2 linked regions of the Lonchura striata genome follow. The protein of the gene in region 2 purifies or fractionates together with the protein of the main gene of each other region. This does not show direct contact. Links are inferred from orthologs where the notes say so. Each region holds a gene or a part of one and is shown on either strand. Other genes may lie near its edges.

What was found.
Region 1: the proteins of NPM1 (region 2) and NCL purify together in Homo sapiens (affinity purification with mass spectrometry; 8 studies listed by BioGRID and IntAct, counting the BioPlex papers as one, with this or other methods). This does not show direct contact. The link is inferred for Lonchura striata from reciprocal best matches to the Homo sapiens genes NPM1 and NCL.

Annotation. Positions count from the first base shown.
Region 1 is NC_134612.1:18,077,038-18,084,491, reverse strand, and holds the start of NCL (nucleolin), read left to right. Parts: upstream 1-4,434; 5' UTR 4,435-4,550; coding exon 4,551-4,568; intron 4,569-5,129; coding exon 5,130-5,237; intron 5,238-5,814; coding exon 5,815-6,091; intron 6,092-6,413; coding exon 6,414-6,563; intron 6,564-6,912; coding exon 6,913-7,095; intron 7,096-7,301; coding exon 7,302-7,388; intron 7,389-7,454. UniProt on the Homo sapiens protein: Nucleolin is the major nucleolar protein of growing eukaryotic cells. It is found associated with intranucleolar chromatin and pre-ribosomal particles. It induces chromatin decondensation by binding to histone H1.
Region 2 is NC_134617.1:17,420,624-17,428,335, reverse strand, and holds the start of NPM1 (nucleophosmin), read left to right. Parts: upstream 1-4,705; 5' UTR 4,706-4,806; coding exon 4,807-4,870; intron 4,871-5,559; coding exon 5,560-5,639; intron 5,640-7,712. UniProt on the Homo sapiens protein: Involved in diverse cellular processes such as ribosome biogenesis, centrosome duplication, protein chaperoning, histone assembly, cell proliferation, and regulation of tumor suppressors p53/TP53 and ARF.

The sequences.
Region 1 (7,454 bases), on a different chromosome or scaffold from region 2:
TTTCCTTTACTCCAGTGGAGAGAGAAGGGTGCTCCCAAGGTCTCCTCTCACCACCCAAATTGCTCCACATCTCCCAATCCTGGTTTTTCTTCTTTATCTCACACCTACTGCAAGTCCTCTTCTGGTCCCACTTTTTTCTCACGCATCCTTTTTTCCAGGGCTGCACTTGTTCTCTTGCTGAGCAGATCCAGAGGAGAGTCCACCTGGCTGGGAGGCTCTGGGTGGCTGTGTGGGCTTGCTGGGGGCTCACAGGCACACCACAAGATCCTGCTGCCAGCTCCAGGCAAGGCGTGTTGGGGAATGGAATTGGCCTGCCACAAGGGAAATCTTAGGGGAATTGGCTCCTTCTGGAAATAAAAATCCCCTTCTTTTCTGCAGTGTACCAGAAATTATCCCTACAAGGAATACTTGGAGGGCATGTGGAGACTAAATTTGCATGTACAAAACTCTCTGTGGGAGTCACCTGTAGGTTTCCTTGTCCATGAACCCCAGGAAATGCTACAGCATCTGCCAGAGTGACAATGGGTATGCCTGTCTCCAGGGTCCCTTGCCAATTCCTGCAGCATCCCTCCTCAAGAAAGGATACTTCTCAGAGAAGAAATCCCATACTCTGCCAGACACTGCTGACTTTCATCCCTGCAGGCTAGTGTGTCTCAAGCTGCCCATTTCAAGGCAGAGGACGTGCACTTGTCTGTGACTACTTGAATTAAGTGCCATTTGTCACAGCAAGCTCTGCACCCACTTCATGCTCATCATCCTTGAGGACTCTCCTCTTGGCACAGACAGGGGGATAATGAAGAAAAAACTTAATTAGACTACCACACAGTCCCATCTAATTTTCTGTCCTGCATTAATCAGGGCCTGGGGAACTGTGCAGTTGGGAAGAGAGAGGACAACCCCTGAGTGCCTGGTGCTGCTGGGTCACCATCCATCAGCTGTGGTACCTGCTGGCATAGGAGCACATGACGGGGTGAGGTGGGCACCAAGAGGAGAAAAGGATTTGCAGCATGGGGTTGTTCAAGAGGTTTTGAGCAGCACCTAGACCTAGGATTAGTAAATTTGCTTTAATAGTGGTTTTTGGTGGGGTTTTATTTGTTTGATTTTTTTTTTCTGCCACCTTTGCCATGCTGTACACATCAGATCACTGCTCAGACCACACAGCAGGTGATGTCAGGTTGAGGTGCTCAGGGACACATTTCATTGCTCTTCTAGCTCGTTTCCCCTTCTCTGAGCACCCACTGGATGTTTGCTGGAGATCCCTGACAATTTTTTTTTGGCAGCAGACGCCTGCACCACCCACAGGTAAAACTTTTCCTCTCCCGAATGCACTTGGTGCTGCTGCTACCCGGCGAGTACCAAATGCGTCCTGGGAGGCACGAAGGAGGCAGGGCGGGATGCGCCGCTCAGGTGCGCCCAGCAGGGTTTGGGGGAGCCGGGACACGCAGCCTTCTGCCACCATCTAGTGGAAACCCGCGGCGGCCACAGCCTGAACGGGGCGTTTGGGAGCGCTCCCTCACTCACCTCAGCTGGGATTCCCCTCGAGCTGGCCACCCAGTTTGCCTGGCTTTTGGGTGGCCGCGTTTGCCTCGCAGCGCAGTTCCCCCCTCCAGGCCCTGGGCAGCCGCAGCCGGGTAGGGAAAAGCACAGGGTGAGCGTCTGCTATGCCAGAAACTGAGAATCCACGGCAAACCCCTCCTGGGGTCTCCACTGAACCAGCTAAATTCCCTTTAACTGTGGAATTATAGCAGCGCTCCCCAGCCACACACATGCTACAACAAGAGACAGCCATAAAATGACCTAAAGTGTATTTACTGCACAAATAGAGCTGTCAAACCTGCTCTTTTGGCCAAATTACCCTTCTCACTGATGCTTCTCTGTGAGACTTCCCTCGGCATTTGAAATTCCTGGAGCTGCCTGCAGAGGAGCTGGGCTGTGCTGAGCCACAGCAGGGACAGCCCTGCAATATGGTGCGTCCCAAGGCTGGCCTTGCTCCACTCCGGCATCATCCTGCCCAGTGCTAGGGCTGAAAAATCCTGGCCACACATGGGATACAGGGAAGAACCCAGCCTAAACACTGGCATCTGCAATGTCCTGGGCCCTTTTTGGCCATAAGAGCAGCTGGCAGGGTTGGGCCATATCCAGACCTGCTCAATGGTGCATGGATAACAGTGCATGGACTGACACAGAACATGGATTAGCACAGAGCATGGATTGATATGGAGCATGGATTGGCACAGAACACGAATTAGCACAGTGCATGGACTGACACAGAGCATGGATTAGCACAGAGCATGGATTGATATGGAGCATGGATTGGCACAGAACATGGATTAGCACAGTGCATGGACTGACACAGAGCATGGATTAGCACAGCCTCATGGCCAGTGCTGGTTCTCACTCCTCTGCACGGGGTGCTGTGCTCCTTCCCCAAACACTGGGCTCTACTGCAGCCTCACAGATACCAGAGGCAAGGACAACCTTCCAACACACTGCTGGGGAATGGGACTGAACACAGGCCATACTGAGAACTCCCCTGCCAGGGTTGGGAACCAAGACTAGCCAGCTGCCAGCCCAGCCCTTTGCAGATCCCACTGCTGGCACTGGTATTGGCCAAATGCAGTGTCCCAGCTGCCAAAACTGCCCCTGGCTAAAGCAACAGTTGTACCTTTATCATGACAAACCAGCAAGGCCAGCCCCAGCACAGGCAGCAGAGCTGTTCAGGCAGTCATGGTACATGATCTTGTTGAACCACATGCGTGGTGAGGAGAGTGCAATCAGCTCTTGCTTCAGACAGTTAAAAATCACTTTCAGGTCTCTCTGTCTTCCATTCCATCACTTTGCATCCCCTTGGGCCACACTTAGTCTTGTGTCACTGCTTTCCCCATGCAGTGACCCCACTTGGGGACAGCTCCTGCAGCACACAGTGGGACATGAGCCAGACATTGCTATTTCACAGGCAGGGTCCAGCTGCCCTACACAAGGGTTTTGCCAGCTGGGATCCCCATCTGCCTGCATGTGTGTGACCAGGACTGGGACACAGGCAGTATCCCACTTTGTTCCAGCTCCTTCCCTCCCCATACTGGCTGATGGTGGCAGGCCCTGCACAGGCTTGGATTACTCCTGGAGAGGCTGATTGATCCCATCACCTCTCAGTGAGCAGCTGCCCTTAGCTCAGCTTGCCTGGAAACTGCCTCTTCTTAACCAGCAGAGAAAGAGGCATAGGACAGCCTAAGAGCTGGGTATATTGCCTCAGCCACAGTGTGGCACTGAACAATCTTGGGGTGCCCCCTCAAAGGCACCAGGGCCATGCAGGATGGCACTCATTGAGAGTCTGCATTTTTATTCCGGGGCTCACTAGGATCTCATGTTCCCCAAGTCAGGTGCTTATCTCAAGTAGGCCATGGATGAGCAAGCTGCTACAGTCACCCATGCTTGAGTCAGGAGCCCCCAGGAGCTGGCTGGATGCCCAGTTTGAAGGGTAGGGGAGGTAAGGCAGTAGGGAAAGCCCAGCAATGGAGGCCACTCTGTGTCAGGTAGTGGCAAGGCAGCACCCAGCCCGGCCAGCAGAGTGACAAGTGAAACAGGGGTACCGGGTCTGCCCTGGGGTCATTTCTACCCTCAATTTACAGCCACCGGGGAAAAATTCCACAGGGAGAAAGGTGGTGTCTTCTTGCAGTGACTGCATTCAAAAGCATCCATCAGGCAAGCACAGGCTTATTTTTTTCTTTCATTTTGGGCCTTTTCTCCCAGCTGAAGGAGTGAAGGCTGGCAGCTGCAGAGTGCAACCACAACCTCGACAGCAGCAGCAGCAGCACACTGACCGGCTCCTACGGAAGCTCCTTCAGCTGCCCACGGGTGCTTTGTGCTTCCCGAGGGTCGGGGAGGGGATGCGGAGCCAGGCAGAAGTGGGTGGCAGAGATAGCGCTGGGGCAGAGACAGCCCCAAAGCGGGAGGCAAAAGCGTGTTCGGGCAGAGCGGCACGCCGAGCTGCCGCCGGGGCGGTCGGGGCCGCCGTGAGCGCCGGGCACGGCGGCGTCTCCCGGAGCCCCGGAGCCCCGGAGCCCCGCCCGGGCCCGGCACGGCGCCGCGGCCGCCACGTGCGGCCCCTGGGCCCGGCCAGGCCGCCCGGCCCCGCGCATGCGCCGCGCCGCCGCCGTCCCGCGGCCTCCCGGGCGGGCGGTGCGTCCCCCCCGCGCTCGGCCCCGCGGCTGTAACGCGCCCTGCGGTTGGCCGATCGCAGAACGCCGGCGATTGGCGCGGCGGCTCGAGGGGCGGGGGCCGCGATTGGCCGGGCGGCGGGGCGCGCGCGGCGATTGGTCGGAGCGGGGGCGGTGGGGGCGGGGCGTGGCGCGGGGCTAGCAAAGGGGGCGGAAGGGGCGCGCGCTCGCTCTTTCGTGTCAGTGCCCGGCCCGGCCGCCCGCGCGTCCCCGCCGCTCCCGCTACTCGCCCGCGGCCCGATCCCCGCCGCGCCGCCGCCCCGCCGGACGCGCCCGCTCCGCTCCCGACACAACTCGGCCGCCGCCCCTGCGCCGCCAGGCACCGCCGCCATCATGGTGAAGATCACCAAGGTGAGGGAGTGGCGGAGCGCAGCCGCCGGGCGGGAAGCGGTCCAACGCCGCCATGATGGGGCGGGAGGGTGCGGATGGCGGCGTATCGGGGAGGAAGCCGGGCCGCCTTCTCGCCGCCGTCCGCTCGGGCCGCGCGGCGGCACCTGGCCTGTTCTCCCGAGCCGTGAAGATGGCGGCGAGGGGAGGGGCCGCGGGCCCGGAGGCAGTGGATTCAAGCCCCAATTGTCCCGCTCTGCTCCGTGCGGCGGCGGCGGGAGGGGAGCGGGCGGCGGGGCGGGGGATCCGCGCGCGTGTGTGCGGGACGCGGGTGGGCCCCGCGTGCGGGCGCGCGCGGGGTGGGGGGGGCGGGGCTACGTCACAGTGCGGCCACGTGGGGCGCGCGGACAGCGAGCACGTGGGGGCGCGCGGAGCTCCCGGGAAGGCCCCGCGCACCGGCGGGCGCGGCCCCGCCACCGCGGGGCGGCCACGTGGTGGGGACAATCGCCCCGCCGGAGCGAGCGGCGCCCGCAAGCGACCCGGGTGAGCACGGCACCTGAACGTGCTGCTCCCGCTCTCTTGCAGACCCCGAAGAATCAGATGAAACAGAAAAAAATGGCTCCTCCCCCGAAAAAGTTCGAGGAAAGTGAAGAAGAGGAGTCCTCTGATCTAGACGAAAGCAGCGGAGAAGAGGTGATTGATCTAGAAAGGGGAGGCAAAAGGACGCACGTGTTACACAGAAGTGTCGTGAGGGTTGTGGGTTACACTGTAACAGGCGTTTAATCAATAGTCGGTGTTTCTCTATAAATTGTGGCTAAAGAATAAAGTGGATTTTGTAAGAATAAAGCATTATGGGGAAAAATAGCTCAGCTACTGTGTTTCCAAGCTTTTGGAAGTGCTTCTGATGTTTTAAAGCCATACTAAAGCTGATAAGCATGTGGGTACCTAATTATTCTAGTAATCAGCAGTGTAACATTTGTCCACGTGTGGTTTATGTGCAAGTGTAAAAATTCCAAGGTATAGAATGCTAATAGACACAATTGGTCTTTGTTCAGGACCAGGGAGTTTAGAGGTGCTTTGATGTTCCATAAGTAGGCTTCTGAAAGCATGAAAAAGCTGTTTTTGACCTTTATTCATCTGAGTGGGCATTTAAGGTAAATTTACAGAACCTGTCAGGTTACTCTGTAGATTTCAGTTGCTGTATGTTTGATAGTGAAGTAATGGTAGGTTAAACAGGCCAGCATGAATCTTACACTAATGTGTCTTTCAGATGATCCCCCAGAAGAAACCACAAAAAGTTGCTGTTACCCCAGCCAAGAAGGCTGCAACTCCTGCAAAAAAAGTTGCTACTCCTGCAAAAAAGGCAGTTACACCTGCAAAGAAGGTTGTGGCTACTCCACAGCCGAAAAAGGCTGTTACTCCAACTCCTAAAAAGGCTGCTGTCCTAACCAAAGGAGCAAAAAATGGAAAGAATGCCAAGAAGCAGGAGAGTGAAGAAGATGATGAAGATGACGAAGATGATGATGAGGAGGATGAAGAAGATTCGGGTAAGTTACTTTTGAAATAGGCATTGACTAAAGCTGGTTCAATCAAGTCATTAAATATGAGTCCCTTTGGAATTGGAAGCATTTGTGTGATTAATACTTGGGGGAGTTCATTGATTAATGAGGGGTTATGAAGGAGAGGTGGGCAATGGGTGAAGTTTGGAGGAGAGCTTGGGCTGCAGCTGCCTTACACACGGCGTGTAAAACATCTCCTAGTTTCTTGATTGCCCTTTCCTGAACTTTTGCGCAAAATTTTGGGAAGCTCTAAGCACTTTTTACCTATACCACTGAACCTTAGTAGTAAAGACTTGTACTGTTGGTGCAGATGAGGAAGAGGAGCCACCAATGCCTGTGAAGCCTGCAGCCAAAAAGCCTGCAGCAGTACCAGCCAAAAAGCCTGCAGCTGTGCCAGCAAAGCAGGATTCTGAGGAGGATGAGGATGAAGAGGATGATGAAGAAGATGATGAAGAAGATGGTATAAGATGTTTATTATTAAACACTTTCAGGGACCTGGGGGAGGGAGGTTACTTAAAGGATAATGGGATTGATGCAGTGTGTGCTCGGCTGGTTTTAGCTGGTTGCTGTTGTCCATGTTGCTGAAAGGATGTTAATTTCCCTTTTGTCAGTAAAACTTCTTACTGTTGGTGAACAGGTTTTGGGGTTTTTTTTAATGCAGTAAAACACAAGGCAGAGAGACAATTTTCCTGGAAACATACAAATTTCAGGAGGCATGAGAAACATCTTGCTTAACAGTATTTTGTTTTCTTAGTTTCAAAATATGCTTAATGTGGAACTGTCTGAATACCGTGCTCATCTTGTTTCAGAGTCTGAAGATGAAGCCATGGACACAGCCCCTGTTCCAGTGAAAAAAGCCACTCCAGCCAAGGCTGCACCAGTGAAAGCCAAGGCAGCAGAATCTGAAGATGAGGAAGATGAGGATGATGATGAGGATGATGATGAAGAGGAGGAGGATGAAGAGGATGCCGAAGAGGAAAGTGAAGATGAAAGTAAGTTTAAGTGGCTTTGAGACTCTTTAATAACAGATATGGTGCCTAAGCAGAAATGTGCTACAGTGGCCTTTTGTACTGAGGAGCAGCTTCTGAGTAACAGGAGAAGATCTTGTGTATGAATAGTGTAAGGATTAATGTTCCTGTATTGATGCAATTCAGGAAAAGTTCTGTATTTTACAGTGTTGTTCTGTTTTCTGGCACAGAACCTGTTGTCAAGGAAGCACCTGGAAAGAGGAAGAAAGAAATGGCCAATAAAAGTGCACCAGAGCCCAAGAAAAAGAAAACAGATGGTAAGTGGTGTGGGATCCTCATATGATGCTTGTTTAATGGATTGTGATTGAATTCTGTTGCATGAG
Region 2 (7,712 bases):
GGATCCTGCCATCCCATCTCTGAGGTCTGTGACAGTGGCCAAGGGAAATCAGTCTCCCCATGCAAGACCTTCCAGTAAACAACCCTCTAGTAGGAAGGGTGTAGTAGGTAGGCACAGACAGGCAAACCTCACCTGGGACACCTGGGCATGGATGACACCTGGGAGAAGGCAGGCAGCCATGGAGGAAGCTGATTTGGGATCACTAGATGGTGCTGTCGACCTTGAAATGGGAACGACAGCGCTAAGACGAGGGAACAGCTGAGCTTACAGCCAGAGCATCTGCACAGAGCTATGGTTGACTAACAGCATCCTGCATGCTGCTCAAACACCAGATGGACCTGCCCCTCAGGCTCTGGCAGTGAAGCTGTAGAATGGGTTGTATTGCTCTGGGGAATGGTTTCTCCCTCCCCAGAGACCTCTGTAGCTGTGACCTGTTAGTTTGACCCTTCCTTCCTTTCCTGACATAATTGGCTGGGAGCCAAGTAGCCCTTACTGTACTGAGCCTAGATAAGGCTCTGCCCCTTCCTGGTTCTCTCTCTTTCCCTCTTCCTCCTATGGAATAAACATCTTGGACCACATTGGGGGTTGGAGCCTCTTTTGGAATCTTCACCCAGCTCCTGGAACACTCTCCCCTCAAGGCCTTACAGATGTGGGCTAGCCTGGTAACTTCGGGGGGCTGCACAGGAAGGTGTCTCAGAGATGGAGAATAACAAACACAGGAAAATCAGGAACTGGACATGATCATGCTGTGCCCCACCCCATGGCCTTATGTCTGCTCTTCTACACCCTGCAGGAACCATGGGGAACAGGGACAATATTTCAAAGCTTGTGCTGCAGTAGGAGTAGATGTGAAAAGGGACCACCAGAAAAGGCTACTTTGATGTGGACTATCAGGTGTTATCTCCCATCTCCAAGGCCCTGGCTGCCCATGAGTGCTCAGCAGAACTCATGTACCCTGGCAGTGATGCAGAACATTGTTTTGGGATCAAGCTCATGGAGTGTAACAAGCAGAGCAGTGCCATGGGCTGGCAGCAGGTATAGCTTCAGCACACAGCAGCAAATGATATTGCAAGGGGAGTCGTGGCTCGTGGCACAAGGGCAGCTGGCATCGCTGGGGAGAGGATGTTAGGTGCAGTCTGCCTCGCCAGCCTTACAGACACATGCCTGATGGAGATCTCTGCTGCCACCCCCTTCCTGACCCATGCCAGCCCCACCAACTCCAAACTCCTACTCCTCCTACTGGGAAGTGGCCTCACCTTTGAGACCTGCAGGACACACAAAGTTTTAAAGTATCCTGATTTTTCTCCCAGTTTCAGTCAGGACAGTGTTAATTTTTGCAATAGCCAGGAAGGGTCATGGCCAGGACCTAGAGGCTATTCTGTACTGAATATTTAAAGAAAAAAGAAAAAAAAAAATAGAGACATTTCAGGCTATCTTAATTTTTACTGTTGTGGACACTGACACCTGTAATCTATCTGTGTAACCTTACTTCATTTCATCACTGCAATACCTGAGTGCCTCCCCTGTGGATATCCTGGCTCACCTGCCATTCCTCTCTTTTACAATTGTATGTCTGAAACTGGGCCTTAATAGGAGAAGAATCCTCTCAAAGCTTTATGCAAAACCATAGAAGAGATGGAGCAGCACCGGCTTGTGCTGCCATAAGCAGAAGCTGGGGCACCAGACTCCCTCTGCTTCCCTTATGCAGCATTCTTTGGTGCTGAAGGACCTTCTGATACAGCTCTTTATGGTGCTCTGCATGAGTAATATGCTACAGGCAAAGCTGGGGATGGAATAGGCACTACAGAAAGAGGGAAGATGGAGAAAACTTCCAGTGCTACTTACAGCAGGTTCAGCAGCAAAAAGCAGATTGTGGGTAAGAAAGAAGACAACCAGGTAAGGATGGTCCCTCCATCCCAGCTCCTTGTCCTGCGCTGGCTGCAAACCAGCCTGGAGGTGAAGGGAAATTACAAATGCAAGGTCAAATCCTCCCAAAGCAGCCCCAGGAGATGCAGTTCTCACCTGTGTTCAGGGTGTTCAGCTGGCACCCAGCCAGGCGGCTCTGTCCATGCTGCCCCTGCAGTGCCTAGACAGCACATTGCTCCTGCTGCTGCCCCAGCTCATGGGACCAGGAAAGCCAACACCTGCCTCTTGCTGCCCTATCTGGGGACAGCAATATGCAGTTCTTTCAGGCTAAAGTGAAATACTTGGATTTTCTGGTGTGCAAGTGATCTTTTTTTGAGATCAAGAATGGTGTTTTGATGCCAGTTAAGATTTTGGCCCTGGGACAGAAACTGTTGACTAGTGAAGGGCGGGGGAGGCCAGTGGAGAGGCTATGTGACAGCCATGGGCTAGGGCAGCTGAAGATTATTTCATTACGTCAGCATGGAAATTAAGATTGCATAGGAAATCTTTACTGTCTCTATACCTTCTGATCGTTTGATTACAACTGCACTGTGGTTTTAATCATGCTCAACATAAAATTTCCTGAATTTTGTACATGTTCACTAAAAAGAGAATTCCATTAAGCAAAGTTCTGATTTTCTCCTAGTTGTCCCTGTATGGCTGTTTCTAAATCACTTGTAAGCCTTTTCTGCCATGCCGAGTATTACACAGCACAGAGCCAAGCAAAATAAAATGATCGATATTGTAATGGACTTCTCATCGTAGTACCATGGCAGAAATAATAAATGTCATGATATATGACAACCCTTCTAAATCCCTATGGAGCCAAATGAGACACAGTAAGCATATATCTCCTACTTCCTACCCCTGCTTTTCTTCTCTGTGTGTGTTCCTCCCACATTTATTTCCTCCATAAAGGAAGACTGTAATTGTATTGAACGTGACTCTGCAGACAGGAGAATCTGCTGTGGTTCCACTGTTCCCTTCAGCAGACCCAGGTGGACTTCTGGAGCTGCAGTTTGTGAGCTGCTCAGTGCCCTGCGGGGCAGGACTTTTGGTGGCTTTGGCCAGCAGCCATGTCCTCCTGCTGGCACTACAGGTAAATGCAATTCACTCCCTTCCACTATTACTGTGTAGGATTCACCTTCCAGCTCCAGTCTGACATCTGCCTCATGCCATAACTTCATTTGAAATTTAGATAATAGTTCCCATTTTCAATCCAGCCCAAACAAATGCCTTATCTGCATCTTTGCAGCTTTTAAGGCTGAGATGTCTGATCAGTTAATGATGTCTCTCTCTGCCAGGGACACCAGCCACTGCACTTGTTGGAATTTCTGCCTCTGCTGCTCCACAGATCCCTGGGCGTATCTTAGGGCAGCTGAGGGTGTATCTATAGTGGCAACTATTTTCCCATAGTTGCCACTCTTCCTACCCAGCAGTAATTACTTCGTAAAGGTAATAAGAAATTAACCAAACCAAATGTTAGAAAATGAAATAAACACTGTTTGTTCTCTGGTTCCTTGTGAGACTTTAAGGGGAGTAAATCACAGAATCACAGAATATCCATCCTCACTCATATGCTAAACTGTGCTCCAATTTATTCCTGTACCTTGTTTTCACACACAATTTAACTATTATTGAATTTTGGTCAGCCTGTGGCAACCACCAGAAACACCTCAGTGGACAGCCTGCCCTAATGTTAATAGGATGGTAGGGGATCATATCCTGGTGAAACCATGTGTATCCTGTGGAACTGCATTTGCTGTTTGCAAAGGGGCCAGCTTCATGGAAGAGCGAGGAAGGGGAGTCTTTGACAGCGTAAGTTTCATTTTCCCATTGTGCCAGTTATTCTTCAGTTTGTCTCATTTTCAGCAACATCATTTAATGTTGATCCTTTATGAATTCCAATGAAGGTAACTCTACAAGTTACACATTTCAAATCAGAAGGGAGGTAAGAGCACCAAGAGCCTATAAACTTTTATTTTTGCAGAGTAAGTGTTCAGGTAAGTGTGAGATTAGTACACAAGTGACCCTTGTGCAGATCAGCCCCAGGACACGATGGCCTGGGATGTGTGGATGATGAACCCAGCCCAGGGGCAGTGATGGGCTCCCACCACGGTGGCAAACAAGTGCTTCCAGGACTAGTAGATCTACGTATAAAATAACCCTAGAACTTTTAACTTTGTTGTGACAGCTTTCCCCGTGCGCTAATTTCACATTAAAAAGTGGTTTGCCCCCATCATCCGCCAGCTGAAAAGGAGGTTCCCAGAGTGTTGTTGTCCCTGGCCTTCAGAGCCAGTGGCGCAGGGAGCAGTAGCTCGGGATGGGAGCCCATCCTGACAGGCAACGCACAGGAAGGGAGCTGCTTTCGTTCCTGTATGATTTTAGTCAGAGATGGCAGCAGCAGCCAGCTGCCGCCACAGAGCGAGCAGGGCGCGTTGCACCGCAGCACGGCTCTGCGGCCGGGGAGCCGCTCGGGCCGGCGCGGCTGCAAGCTCTGAGCCGGGCCCGGGCCGCGGCCGCGCCCCTTCGCTGTCCGCGCGTGCTGCGCGGCCGGGAGCGGAACGCTGCGGTCCGCACCCACGGCTCTGCCCCACGTGTGGCGCGGCTCCCCGCGGCTCCCCGCGGCTCCCCGGCGGCGGCCGCGGGCCCTGCGGGCGCGGCGGGCTCGGCCCCTCACACGGCCACGGCCACGGCCATGGCCCCGCCCCCTGGCGGCCCGCGCGCGACCACCGTCAGCGTGCGTGCGCAAGGGCGGCGCGGGGCGCCGAGGGACGGGCCCAGCGCGCGGCTCTCGCGAGAACACGAGGCTATATCAGCGAGTGGGCGGGCGCGAGGCTTCCTTTAGTGCGCGTCCACCCGAAGCGTAGTGTTCCCGGTCGGTCGTGCCCCAGCCCCGCGATGGAGGACAGCGCCATGGACATGGAGAGCATGGGCCCCCTGCGCCCGCAGACCTTCCTCTTCGGTAACGCTCGCCGCGGCCACGCTTTCCTGGGGCCCGCTGGCCCCGTCGCCCCCGCAGGCCCCGGGGCCGAGCGCCGTGCGGGGCCGCGGCCTGTGCCGGCCGAGCGCCGCCGCTCCGCGCGCGCGGCGGGGCCGGGGGCTCGGGCGGGACCGGGGGCTCGGCCGGGGGCTCGGGCGGGGCCGGGGGCGTGCGGCGGCCGCTTCCGCGCACTCCGCACGTGGCGCGCGGCCCGCACGTGGCGGGGCCCGTCGCGCTCTGTTCCGCGCTTTGTTCGCGGTGTGTCCCGCCGTTCCTAAGGATGCGGCGCCCCGGCAGCGCCCGCGGAGCACGTGGCAGCGCGGCCGGAGGCGGAGCACGTGGAGCGCCGCGGCCGCGCGCGCCTTGCTGCTCCGGGGCAGGCCCGGCCGCCACGGCGGCGGTTCCGGAGGTGCCATCGTCCCGGGCACCGCGGCGGACGCTGGGCGGGGATGCTCTGGAAGCTGCTGGGTTTAACCGGGCCGTGCGGGGAGCTGCGTGGCCGCCAGCAGGCCGCGCACTCGCGCGGGGTTTTCTTCACCCCACGTGTTCCGCTCCTTGCGTGCCCGCAGCGTGCCGCTACTTCCCTGCGAGTACGCGGCCTGGGAGCAGCAAGCTGCCAAGTAATGCTGTTTTAAATAAAGCAGGAGGCTTATAATTGGATTGTTTTACAGGCTGCGAGCTTAAAGCAGATAAGGAGTTTCAGTTCAAAGTAGATGATGAAGAAAACGAACATCAGTTGTCACTAAGAACGGCAAGTAGTGTTTGTTTTTTTTTGCTTCCCATTTAAATATACTGGTGTGCTGTGATGGTGTGTTTTTTAACGTGTCATTTATTTCTCCAAACATAATTCAGGTGATAATTGATATGTAAATCTGTATAAAGTAAACATCTCTTACTAGCAGTGGGGCATATTCTGTAATTTCAGATATTTTCTGTATTGAAAACATTTCTTCACTGATGTTTCATTCACAGCAAACAAATGCAAGGCTGGAAAACGTTAAAAATCAACTTACAGTTAGCTAGTAAATATCTGCTAAATTGAGAATTTAGGCTATACATGAGGCATCCCTAAGGTAAATAATGCAGATGCTACAGGAGCAGAGGGAGAAAGATAGATGTGTAAGAGTCATACATAGGCACACTCTTGTGGACTACTATAAACCTGATTTTGAAAACCATTTCAGTGTGTTCCATAAGCTGACTCTAACTCTCTCTTTCCCAGAAGCAGATAATAAGTAAATCTAAATTAGACAGCAGAAGGTTTATGTTTTGACTTACTGTCCTTGGTTTGGCCTTTCCAAGGATGTAACTGGGAAGCCCCATCTTTCATTCAGATAATTCATCTAGCAGACTCCCAGGAGTTCTTGGGTGGGTCCTTGGAGCTTCCTGAGGCCACACAAGTCAGACACAATATTTCAAGGCTTTTGTTCTTGGCTGATCATGTTTTTTTTGGGTAGCAAATCAATAATGTGCACTGTCTTAGCCGTCAAGAAATTAAAGAGTTGTAGCATCTTCATGGCATGTTCCTGTGTTTATTTAAATGCAAGGAAATGCTTTGATGCCTGGAAGAAGAAAGTCTTAAAATTGTTGACTAATTCCTACAGGAGAATTGATTCCTGGAGGTCACTTGCATAATGAGTATCTCCAAACACTTAATGGTGTTACTTAAAACACTTCTTTTTTTTATGTGAGTCATGTGTTTTCCATACTATATTATGAAAAGTACAGCCTGGACTTGACAAAGAGTAATTTGTTGTTAATTACAATTCCTTTTGATGGAAGAACATAGCAATGTATAGGGCAAGTCCACATGCAGATTTCTTGTATCTGAATATTTGTTACATAGCCAAAATTAGTGATACTTAAATTGTATTGTTTTACTCAAGAGTTCCTTTTCTATTTATACTTTCAAAATTAATTGTAGCATTTCTTCTGATGTTGTACAGATGGATGAAGCAGATCAATCCTCACCACTACTTTGTTGCTAGGCTTGTGGGGGGAATTAATCTTCTGTCAGTAACTTCTTTCCATAGAATAAAAAGGGATGATGCACTGGAGAAAGGGTTAAGATACCAAAGGACAAACTAGGAAATGTTTAAGATACTTGGAGGGTCTCAGACATGGTTTAAACAAAAGACCTTGTTGAGTAGAGGAAGGACTTAAAAAAAGGTAAAGGCGGCAAAAACCTGCGGGCTGGTCTATGCTCCCGATAAAAGCCTAGATGAGTAAAGACAGTGTTAAAATACAAATGCAGTGGGGGACTTGGGCATGAGGTACAGCAAGATGGGAAGAAAAGGGTAAAAGGGAAAAGAGGTGGATAAATGTAGGAGGTAAAAGTGCCATGAGTTTCTGTAAATGTCTTACTAATGACAGTTGTGTATAGGGATGGTCACTGATTCATCACCTATTTGGTGTGCATTCCTTCAATATAGAAGTTAAAGCACAGGCATGGATGCTTGCCAAACACAGAGAAATAAATCACAAATAACTGCTATAGTATTAAACTAGGGCAAATGACAGGGTATGCACTAAAATTTTTGTCCCACTAGCTGAGCAATTCAGTGTTGTTGACAGCACATTTGAGAGGTGAGATCAGAGCTGCAATTTCACCTCTTTGAATTGCTAATAACAAAATTTGCCAGTAGTGAATCCAGTGTTCTGTTTTCCAGCCTTCAGTCTGATACATCTAAATCTGGACAATTACAGTCTCATTAAAGCTCAGCTCTTGAAGAATGGAAACTTCCGTGCCTCTGCCTGAAGTGTTCACACCTACATCTCCTGTGGGGGTTGGAAAGATTTCTTGTGAGGGGTTTCAGGAAAGGAA